2 linked regions of the Drosophila melanogaster genome follow. Changing the gene in region 2 together with the main gene of any one other region gives a genetic interaction. Each region holds a gene or a part of one and is shown on either strand. Other genes may lie near its edges.

Region 1 (4,574 bases), on a different chromosome or scaffold from region 2:
TGCATACCAGAACATTGCCTGCTTACGCACCAACGCCATGAAGTATCTGCCCAACTACTTCGTAAAGGGCCAGCTGGAGAAGATGTTCTTCCTCTACCCGGACCCACATTTCAAGCGCGCCAAGCACAAGTGGCGTATTATCAACCAGGCTCTACTCTCCGAATATGCCTATATCCTCAGGAAGGGGGTAAGTCCAACAGTTTCCTGAAAGTACTCGAAATGCGGTCTGCTTACTGCTTAGTCTGCTTACCCAGGGTCTGTTGTACACCATGACGGACGTTGAGGACTTGCACAAGTGGATAGTGACACATATGGAGGAGCATCCGCTGTACGAGCGTCTTACCGAAGAGGAGGCCGTACGTAGTTCAAAACCGAGATCACGCAGCCAAGTCACACATTAATCATTACGTTTAAACCCACAGAATGCTGATCCCATCACCCCGAAGCTGTACCAAAGCAGCGAGGAGGGCGCTAAGGTGGTTCGAAACAAGGGCGATCATTTTCTGGCCATTTTCCGGCGCCTTTAGGACACGTATATTCTCTATATATGTAGACATTAATTTAAGGTTTCCTTAGAGTAAAGAGATCTATCGATTGTTAAATCAACTTGTTCACATGTCCCAAGCCCTTGCAGCTGACTAGCATCTGGCCGCCGGGCTCCATCGCCACATCGAACTTGACCCCTGTCATTTGCTCGGCTACATTGATGGCGGTGCGCGTGTGATTGGTCAGCTTGCCTGTGCGCATCGTTGAGCGGCCCACGGCCAGGGCCATGTAGATGATGAGCTGGTCCTGCATGTAATCATCAACGCAGACCTGTTTGCGCATGTAGTCGCCCAGTTGGCACGACGCCTCTGAGCCGAGAACGTGTCCGTCGATCCTCTTTTTGCCCAATGCAGAAGCACCTAGGACAACGTCGGAGGTCGTGTTGACAGTCATCAGGATGCCGGCTCCGTTGTGGAATGCCTTCTGGCGTGAATGCTTAATCGGCTCGATGCTGCACTGCTGGGACGGCCACAAACGATGTATCTCGCGTTGAGCCGTCTGTTGCATGTCAATAGCAATATTTACCGGCAAGCGGCCGGCGCAGTAGGCCACTCCGCTGACCGATTTGATGCGGCCGAAAGCCACTAATTTTCCGGAATTCAGCTTGGTCACGGGTTGCACGTCCAACTGGCATCTGCCTTGGCCGCGTGGATAGAAGCCGTACCGCTGCACCTTCAGGTCGAAACTAACCCCGAAGTGTTTTAGGTTGGGCAGCAGCACCTCCTGCATGTATTCCACCGGAGGCGCAAAGTCGACGTTCGTGCCCCCGGATACGATCAGGCGGGACGGGCGTCCGGCAAAGAGAAGTACTGGGAGCGCCATCTGATAAATCAGAGTAATGCTGGCCGCCGTGTGCGTTTCCACGCGATACGTGTTGTCCAAAATGGTGCGCGGCGTGAACTCCACTGTGGAGGAGAGCAAGTAGTTTCCCACCACGTCCGCATTGGTTATGTCCCGCAGGAGGTTCAGCCCATGCAGGTGCTGGTGCGAGAGCCCAGGACTCGGGCGGCTGGCCCGGATCTTTACCACGCGCACCGGTTTACCCAAAATGCAGCTGAGGCTGAGGGCGTTGCGCAGGGCCTGCCCGCCGCCCTCCAAGTAGGAGCCGTCGATCTCCAACATTTTTTCCGCGTCCATTTTCCCAATTTATTTATGTTCAGGGATTTTCAGTCTGGTTTCCTCTCAGGTTGTCAGCCAAGTGTGTGTCAGAACAATCGGAGCAATCAAATATCACAATGACAGGGGCTAAGAATAACAGCTCCATTTCACTCGATTGGGACGGCACACTGTGATCCGGGCAGTGTGCCCGACGCTCGCGTTTGCTTGGAAACAAACACCTGCCACTGTGGAACCACTCAAGGCGCGCACCATTCGAACTGGTCCGGCAGCACTGGCCAGACGTAAACAAGCGAACTTTTACAAAATAATACATTACCAGCGCAATAGTTAAAAGTTAACTAGAGATGGCTGTGTAAGTGTGCAGTGTCCGCCGGCGCATGGTCGTACGTGCCGCCTTCAGGCGATTAACTTATCTGCAACGTGCCATCGCGAAGGCAATTATGTATCTTGTTCTAGTCCAGCTTAGCAGTGGTTTAACTGGCCCGAGGCATCGAAGGCGAATCACTTGGCAATTGGGCAATCGCTAGCTTGGTCCTCCTTCTCCACTGGAATGCTTGACTGGCCTTTTTGCCTGTCCGTGTCCAAAGTAGGAGGGCTGCAAATAAGAAAAAAGTAACTAATAACTAATACATTTAATTGAAACCACTTTCCGTTGGAAAATGCTCTTCGAGTTTTTAAGGCTCAACTGTATTTTGAGAGTCCCATTCCCTGGGTCTGATAAAAATAAGCCTATCCGCATAACTGGACTGTGTCAACATTCGCTCAAGCAGACATTGACGGAATGGGCTTAGGACATAATACACCTGACATGGCTTCCATGCGTATAGAATGATATTGAATGTGTACGCTCTTAAGAGCATTATTTTCGAACTCCTTAACCAAAGACAAGAATACAATGTGTCCAAAGATACAATGTTTACCTCGAGATAGCGAGATATCAACAATTTGTTCGGTACTATCCGTATCAACAGGTCTAAGGAACAGCCATTTCCCAATTACTTACGAAGGCAGTGACGGAAAATTTGGTTTACTTATCGTTCTGGTTATTCCACTCGAAGAGTCATGGCAACCGCAATAAAACGCTGGTATTTCGTGTTCTTGTTCTAGTTCCGCTGGCGGTGATGCAATTCTGCCGGCACTGACTGTGGCACGATGGGCTTAGCTCAGCTCAGCCAACAGGTACATATGTTGGTCGCCAAGTGCATTGGTCCGAATCGCGAAGAAGGCCAGCTATGTGTTACCCTCTACGACTTCTTGGTGCTGGCCACAGGCTGGTGGAGGAGATTGCTTCGAAGTGAAGTGCGGCGACGGCAAGGTCGCGAAGTTTTTGTTAGTGGAACACACGAGAATGGTCGGAAAGGCTGACAACTGCGGTCAGCGTTATAGTTTCCAGCGCTCTGCATTGGGTACCTCATAGGTAGTTTATCCTGCCAAGAAATTTTCTTGTTTCGTCTAGGTAGTCTTGGCGCTTGTTTCATCTATAATCGCATTATACACATGAGAGATGCATTGAACAGGGAGCGTTGCGATTACACAGTAGGGCTGGCTCCTAGTATCTTGACCGTTCCTGTGTCCACGGACACACACAGAGCCCAGAAGTGCGTGTGTGTTGGGGAGGCACGAAGCTTCCAGTTCCAGTCGAATCCAGCGACGAAGTTGCGCGCCATACGCGGTCCGCAGTTCACGCGCGCCAGACGTGCCTCGCATTGCATTGGCTCTTGCTCTCCCGGCTCTCTCGCAGCGTTCCTGGTCCACTCGACTCCACTTCGCTTATCTCGGCACAGACGCGGACCCCCGACCTGTTGCACGCTCCCAGGCTCTCATCCTCCCTTCCACGCGATATTCCAGTTGTTTTGTTTTTGTTTTGTTTAGTGTTGTTGTGGAGAGTGGTGAGTGATGATTGGCGACTAAAAGCAATTCGCAAATAAACAACGACGTGTGTTGTGTGTGCTGCAAAAAACAGCATCTCGGACACGTTTGGGGGAGTTCAGCACATCCATCTGCGGCTGATGACTCAGGCTGTGGAGGAATAATTAAATAGAAATGATTAACACGCGGGAACTAACTAACTGATAACGAGCTTTGGCACAGTGATTGATTGTTATTAAGTGAAAAGTAAAGCTCCTAAACTGGCCACTCAACTTTCAGGTGGCAGTCCCCTCGCACAGCTCTGAGCTTGGTCAAAACGAAACGAGCCTTTGAAGGCCTTCTGAGGATACGCAAGCTCCCGTCCAGCCAATCCTGGAGGATACTCAACGCCCCGTCTTTTGCGAGCCACATCAACAACCGCCTGTTAAACACAATGGGTTCCGTCAACTGCAAGGAGTACAAGACCACGGGCAGCACTCCCAAAAAGGAGAAGTCGACAGGTAAATGCACGATTTACAGATGAATAGTTTTCGAAAGGTCAATTGCCAAACAACAAGGCAAGGTCGCATTTCCAATTTGACTGCGCCACTTCTAATCTCGCAAATGGTTTCTTCCCAATAAAATAAGATCATCTTGCCCAAAAAAAAAGTTCCAAATGTACTTAAACCAATCCCTTCGTTTTCCGACTTCAATTCGAAAAGTGCGTGGTAATGTCGTAGATGATCCGATTGCCACCAGTGCCGTGTTCCTTTTACCAACTAAACGAGGCCAAATGGCTTGGAGTTGTGATTAGGAGAGTGGGAATGACCCGCATTAGATGGGTGTTTTCGGGCCGGGCGTAGGTGCCTAGATGATTGTCTCAGCGGCACAAGTCCAAGAGATTGGCAAAGAGATAGGGACGGCGGGAGGGCGCAACTTGCTTGAACTGCTGCTGCGTCATTGCCACAGTAGCTATCGATGCGGGAATACTTAATCCCGGGTACTAATTCCCCTAAAGCGACAGTTTCCCTGTGGATATCCAATAGCATGGCCATCTTTAC
Region 2 (4,219 bases):
CTGCAGCAAATAGATAGCGTAAAAAGAAAACTACAAACATGACAAAATCGTGCGTTAGTATGGAAGCATGGTAACAGTGGTAAACGAAAGACTTCAACAAGACACAAACTTGGGGGTGCGAACAACTTTTAAATCCACTTAGAGGCGGCAGCCAGTCATGCAACGCGAGAGCAACAACGTATGATAATATTTGGCAATTCTTCAGTTTAGCGGTTGCATTTGCAACCAAGTTGACCAACGGTCAGTTATTTAACAAAACAAGTTACCTAGCTACTTAGTTTAGTTGAGTTTTCCGAACTCCCGAGCTTTAGTTTCACTTCCAGGCAATTTACTTCTGGTTGTTCCAAATATATAGTGTAGCCAAATATGAAATTCTGGAACTCGTACGCAAAGGCGCGCAAATATTCGAGAATAATAATAGCTTTACAGTTATTTGCGCCGAATACGCGACGTGAATCAGGCGAGCTCCCGTAGCCAACTGAACCACTCGAAGACGTAGGAAACCAGAGAAAAAGAGCTTCCACCAAAAGTGGCAGCAGCAGCCAAATGAGCCATAATAAAAAAAAAACCACAAAAATAGCAGGAAAATGTTTGAAAGCCATAATATGGCCGGGCACAAAATTGAGCTTTGTCAACTCGGCTTAGAGTTTGACACCCCCAAGTCGCGTTTCCTCATGTGCAAAATGAACAAAATTGAACAAAACGGTCGTAAATCACCAGCAGAAATCATTCATAAATTCCTTTAGAAATGCGTAGAATCATTTAATTGACCGAGATGCGCACTAACTGATAACCATTACTTAGCAAGTTATTATTAATATTATTTCATATAATTTTATAGCATGTTTGATAATAATTCATATTAATGTCCCAAAAGGTGAACAAAAAGTAAATACAAAATTCATTTGAAATAATACAAACACTTTAACTATAAAATAACTTTTCATTTCTCTTAACACACTAAATATTTCTTGAACTTTACATCAACGAGTTGAACGACCTTAGAAATAAATATTTCCTTCGCTGTCTATTTCAAACAATAACCCATCACCGCTGGTTGAAAAGTGATCTGAATTTAATGAGGCAATATTTATTAGACAATCCCATGTCCGTCAATGGGTATTATTCAAGTATGAAATCAAGTACTCACAGCCAGCGCTCAAGTTCATGGGATTGAATAAATCAAGCGACGTGATTGACAATCGTAACGATTGACGGCAATGCTGCCGGTAGGCCAGAAGAAGATTTTGTGGACTGTTTCTTTTGGCAAATGAAAATACAAGGTTGCAGCTTCAGTTGTTATGGCTGATTGCGATTTAATGAAAGGACAAGGTCGCTCTTACAGAAATTCAAAACTGGGCTGAAAACATGCGCCAGCACTTTGTAGCACTTTAAGTGCGATAACAAATGGTGGGCATAAACTGGAAATTCTGCTTTAATTTTGCTCAAAATTACTTAATTTTATTACAATCACAGCCTTTAGCACAATTTTATTTCTTTCGTTCTGTAACGTTTTTAGATATATTTTTTTTAACTAAAAGGGCCGTGGGAAGCATTTTGTAAACACTTTATTAAAGGAGGAAGCATTATTTTTATTTTTCTTCTCTTCTGATGTTGGAATCCTTCCCATTTGACATGCATATTTAAATTACAAGTTTTTTAAATTACAAAGTTAAAAATAAATGAAGCCTTTAGGTATTTTTAGATATTTTTAACAATTTCGAATTTAAAAGCTTGATAGAAACTTTTATCTTATAATTCAATCTTTATAATTTATAGTTTACTCTTTATTAAATAAAACCCAAATATTTCTTACAAACAATTTTATACATTTTATTAAAATTTGTATGTTAACATTTCCCGGTTTGAGCTCAGTATTTTCTGTAATTTGTATGTTAACAATTTCTTATTGGAGCTCGGTATATTCCTTTCAGTAGGTATTTTCCCCTGCGCATAGATGGTCACACTAAGCGGTTGCTGGTTTGTTTATAGTTTTTGTCCGCGAATTTTACTTTAACTTTAGCTATAACTAACAATAATGGAGGTGGAATTCAGTAGGGAGAACTTCCTGCTGCCGGAGATGAAGTACGAGTGTGAGTAGTTCTTCGATTTGCAGGAGAATAATCTGTTGCTAAATATTTCATCACATTGCGTTGCAGACCTGGATCACACGGCGGATGTTCAGTGAGTAAGATAACAACAAAAACAACAAGTGTGCCCGTTAGCCATGTGGAGTAGGGTGGTTCGCTATTTGTGAATGAAAAATCCAGATGATCGTATAAACTAGATTCTAATAAGCGCTTTCGTATTAGAATTTGAGATATAGCAAACATTCTGAAAAAGAATTTATTTTAATTTATACATATTTTAAAGCCATTATAATTTTTCATATTTTCCCAAACCTATGTATTATGTTCATAGTTAGGGAATACGGCTTTTTAAACGTCAAATGTATCTGCTTTTTTGAAGATTATATGTAATGCAAGTTTTTTCTGACTTTTATATTATACTACTATCGCTTAAAACAACAAGACTATTATTAAGTAGTAGATCATAAATAATTCTTTTACTACGCCACTAAAAGGCAGCAGTTTTGTATATAAATTATAACTTACGGCTACAATAGACATAATTAATTTACTTAATATAAACGGATGATGTTGGAATCCTTCCCATTTGACAGAATCCACGGATGGGGATCGTCGCTGAAAGAGGCGTTCGAACAGTGCGGAGTGGCCATGTTTGGATATATGACCGAACTGGATTACGTGTCCGTGGAGCAGTGCTTTGAAATCGAAGCGCATGGAGATGATCTGGAGAGCTTACTCTTTCACTTTCTGGACGAGCTGCTGTTCCTGTTCTCTGCCGAACCGTATCTGGTGTGCAAGAAGCTGGAGATCACCAAGTTCGATGTGGAAAACTTCGAGATTTCCTGCCATTGTTACGGGGAACCATTTGAGCTGGGGAAACATCCGCAGGGCACCGAAGTGAAGGCAATCACATACTCGGCCATGCAAATCATTCAGGACGTGGAGGCCAGCAACTACGAGGTGTTCGTGATAATTGACATTTGATCCAGCGGCGATCGCCGGGAATTAAATGTGACTGTTCTGTTTCAACCCCTTTGCCTGTCTCCATTAATCATAAGTGAAATGCCAAAAAACGATATAAAAACCGCTGCATAAGCCCCGAAAAATTTGCAATCTCTCGTGCTGCGACTGCATCCCTTGTCGATGAGGATGACTTATCAAGAAACCACTCGATTGTGCGGCTGCAAATGCAATTAGGACTGGCTTCCTTCTCACCGGTCTGATTCCGGAATCAAGATTTACCCTTTTGCCTTCGAATTTTTTGTGTACTATTCACTTTTTTTTTGCCCACTGCTTTGTGAATTGGCAACGTGTTGAATTCCCAGACAAATGCCGAATTTGTTGTCCTTTCCCAGGCCCCAGTTCAATGCACTTTTTATTCGGCAGCCTTCAGGAGTTGCTGACGCGTTGGGTTGCATTAAAGAATTAAGTTGTACTTCTTTTTGGGGAGTCATGTCGAATAGGGCAGTTAACAATGCAAGTCAAGGCCATAGTTTTAATGTTATGATTGACTTGATTTGTTCGACATAAAGTATAGAGAATGCGGGGCCTAAAAACACAAACATATTTTTTTATCAACAATAATTTAGTTCAATGAATGTAAATCGTAATAAATATCTATACGATTAAGCAATCCCTAATTCTAAATATCAATCCACGACGATATCAACAAATATTAACGCTTTTCAAAAAACCGATTTCCTTTGAATAACGCGCTATTCTCGAATCAGTATTATTCGGATGATTTTCGCGTGAGCCGATGTTATTTAGTGGCCGATGAGCGAAGTCAGCTGGTAACACCGAGCGATTTGTTTTGAAACAGCTGACCGCACCGTCAAAACCCAGAAAGTAAACAACAAAAAAAACATTTGCCGGGCAACGTCGCCCAACATATGGGCCCGTTCTTGTATTTGTGTGGGTGCGTGCGTGCACGAGTATGATGATTTTTCCTTGGAACATCGGGCGAAGAACGGCGAACTGAAAAATATACGCTTTTACAGCTGATTGATATTAAAAAAAAAGCAACGCTGCGGTCGACGAGCCATACGAATGAGCGTGCGAAAGAACAAACAAAGTATGAAGGCAAATAGCCCGCGGACACACACGCACACACAAACGGCCAGTTGGTC

Evidence for each region. A genetic interaction does not mean that the proteins touch.
Region 1: of Archease (region 2) and Rtca, changing one suppresses a phenotype caused by changing the other (phenotypic suppression), as found in Drosophila melanogaster (one study listed by BioGRID).

Annotation. Positions count from the first base shown.
Region 1 is NC_004354.4:2,070,820-2,075,393, reverse strand, and holds Rtca (RNA 3'-terminal phosphate cyclase), read right to left. Parts: upstream 2,982-4,574; 5' UTR 2,669-2,981; intron 2,278-2,668; exon of another isoform or gene 2,261-2,277; 5' UTR 1,684-2,260; coding exon 598-1,683; 3' UTR 528-597; downstream 1-527. Other genes in the region: CG4045 (uncharacterized protein), read left to right, coding at 1-187, 255-356, 423-527; CG4199 (uncharacterized protein), read left to right, coding at 3,968-4,034. UniProt on the Drosophila melanogaster protein: Catalyzes the conversion of 3'-phosphate to a 2',3'-cyclic phosphodiester at the end of RNA.
Region 2 is NT_033777.3:21,660,684-21,664,902, reverse strand, and holds Archease (archease), read left to right. Parts: upstream 1-1,930; 5' UTR 1,931-2,038; coding exon 2,039-2,093; intron 2,094-2,159; coding exon 2,160-2,184; intron 2,185-2,683; coding exon 2,684-3,074; 3' UTR 3,075-3,717; downstream 3,718-4,219. UniProt on the Drosophila melanogaster protein: Component of the tRNA-splicing ligase complex required to facilitate the enzymatic turnover of catalytic subunit RtcB.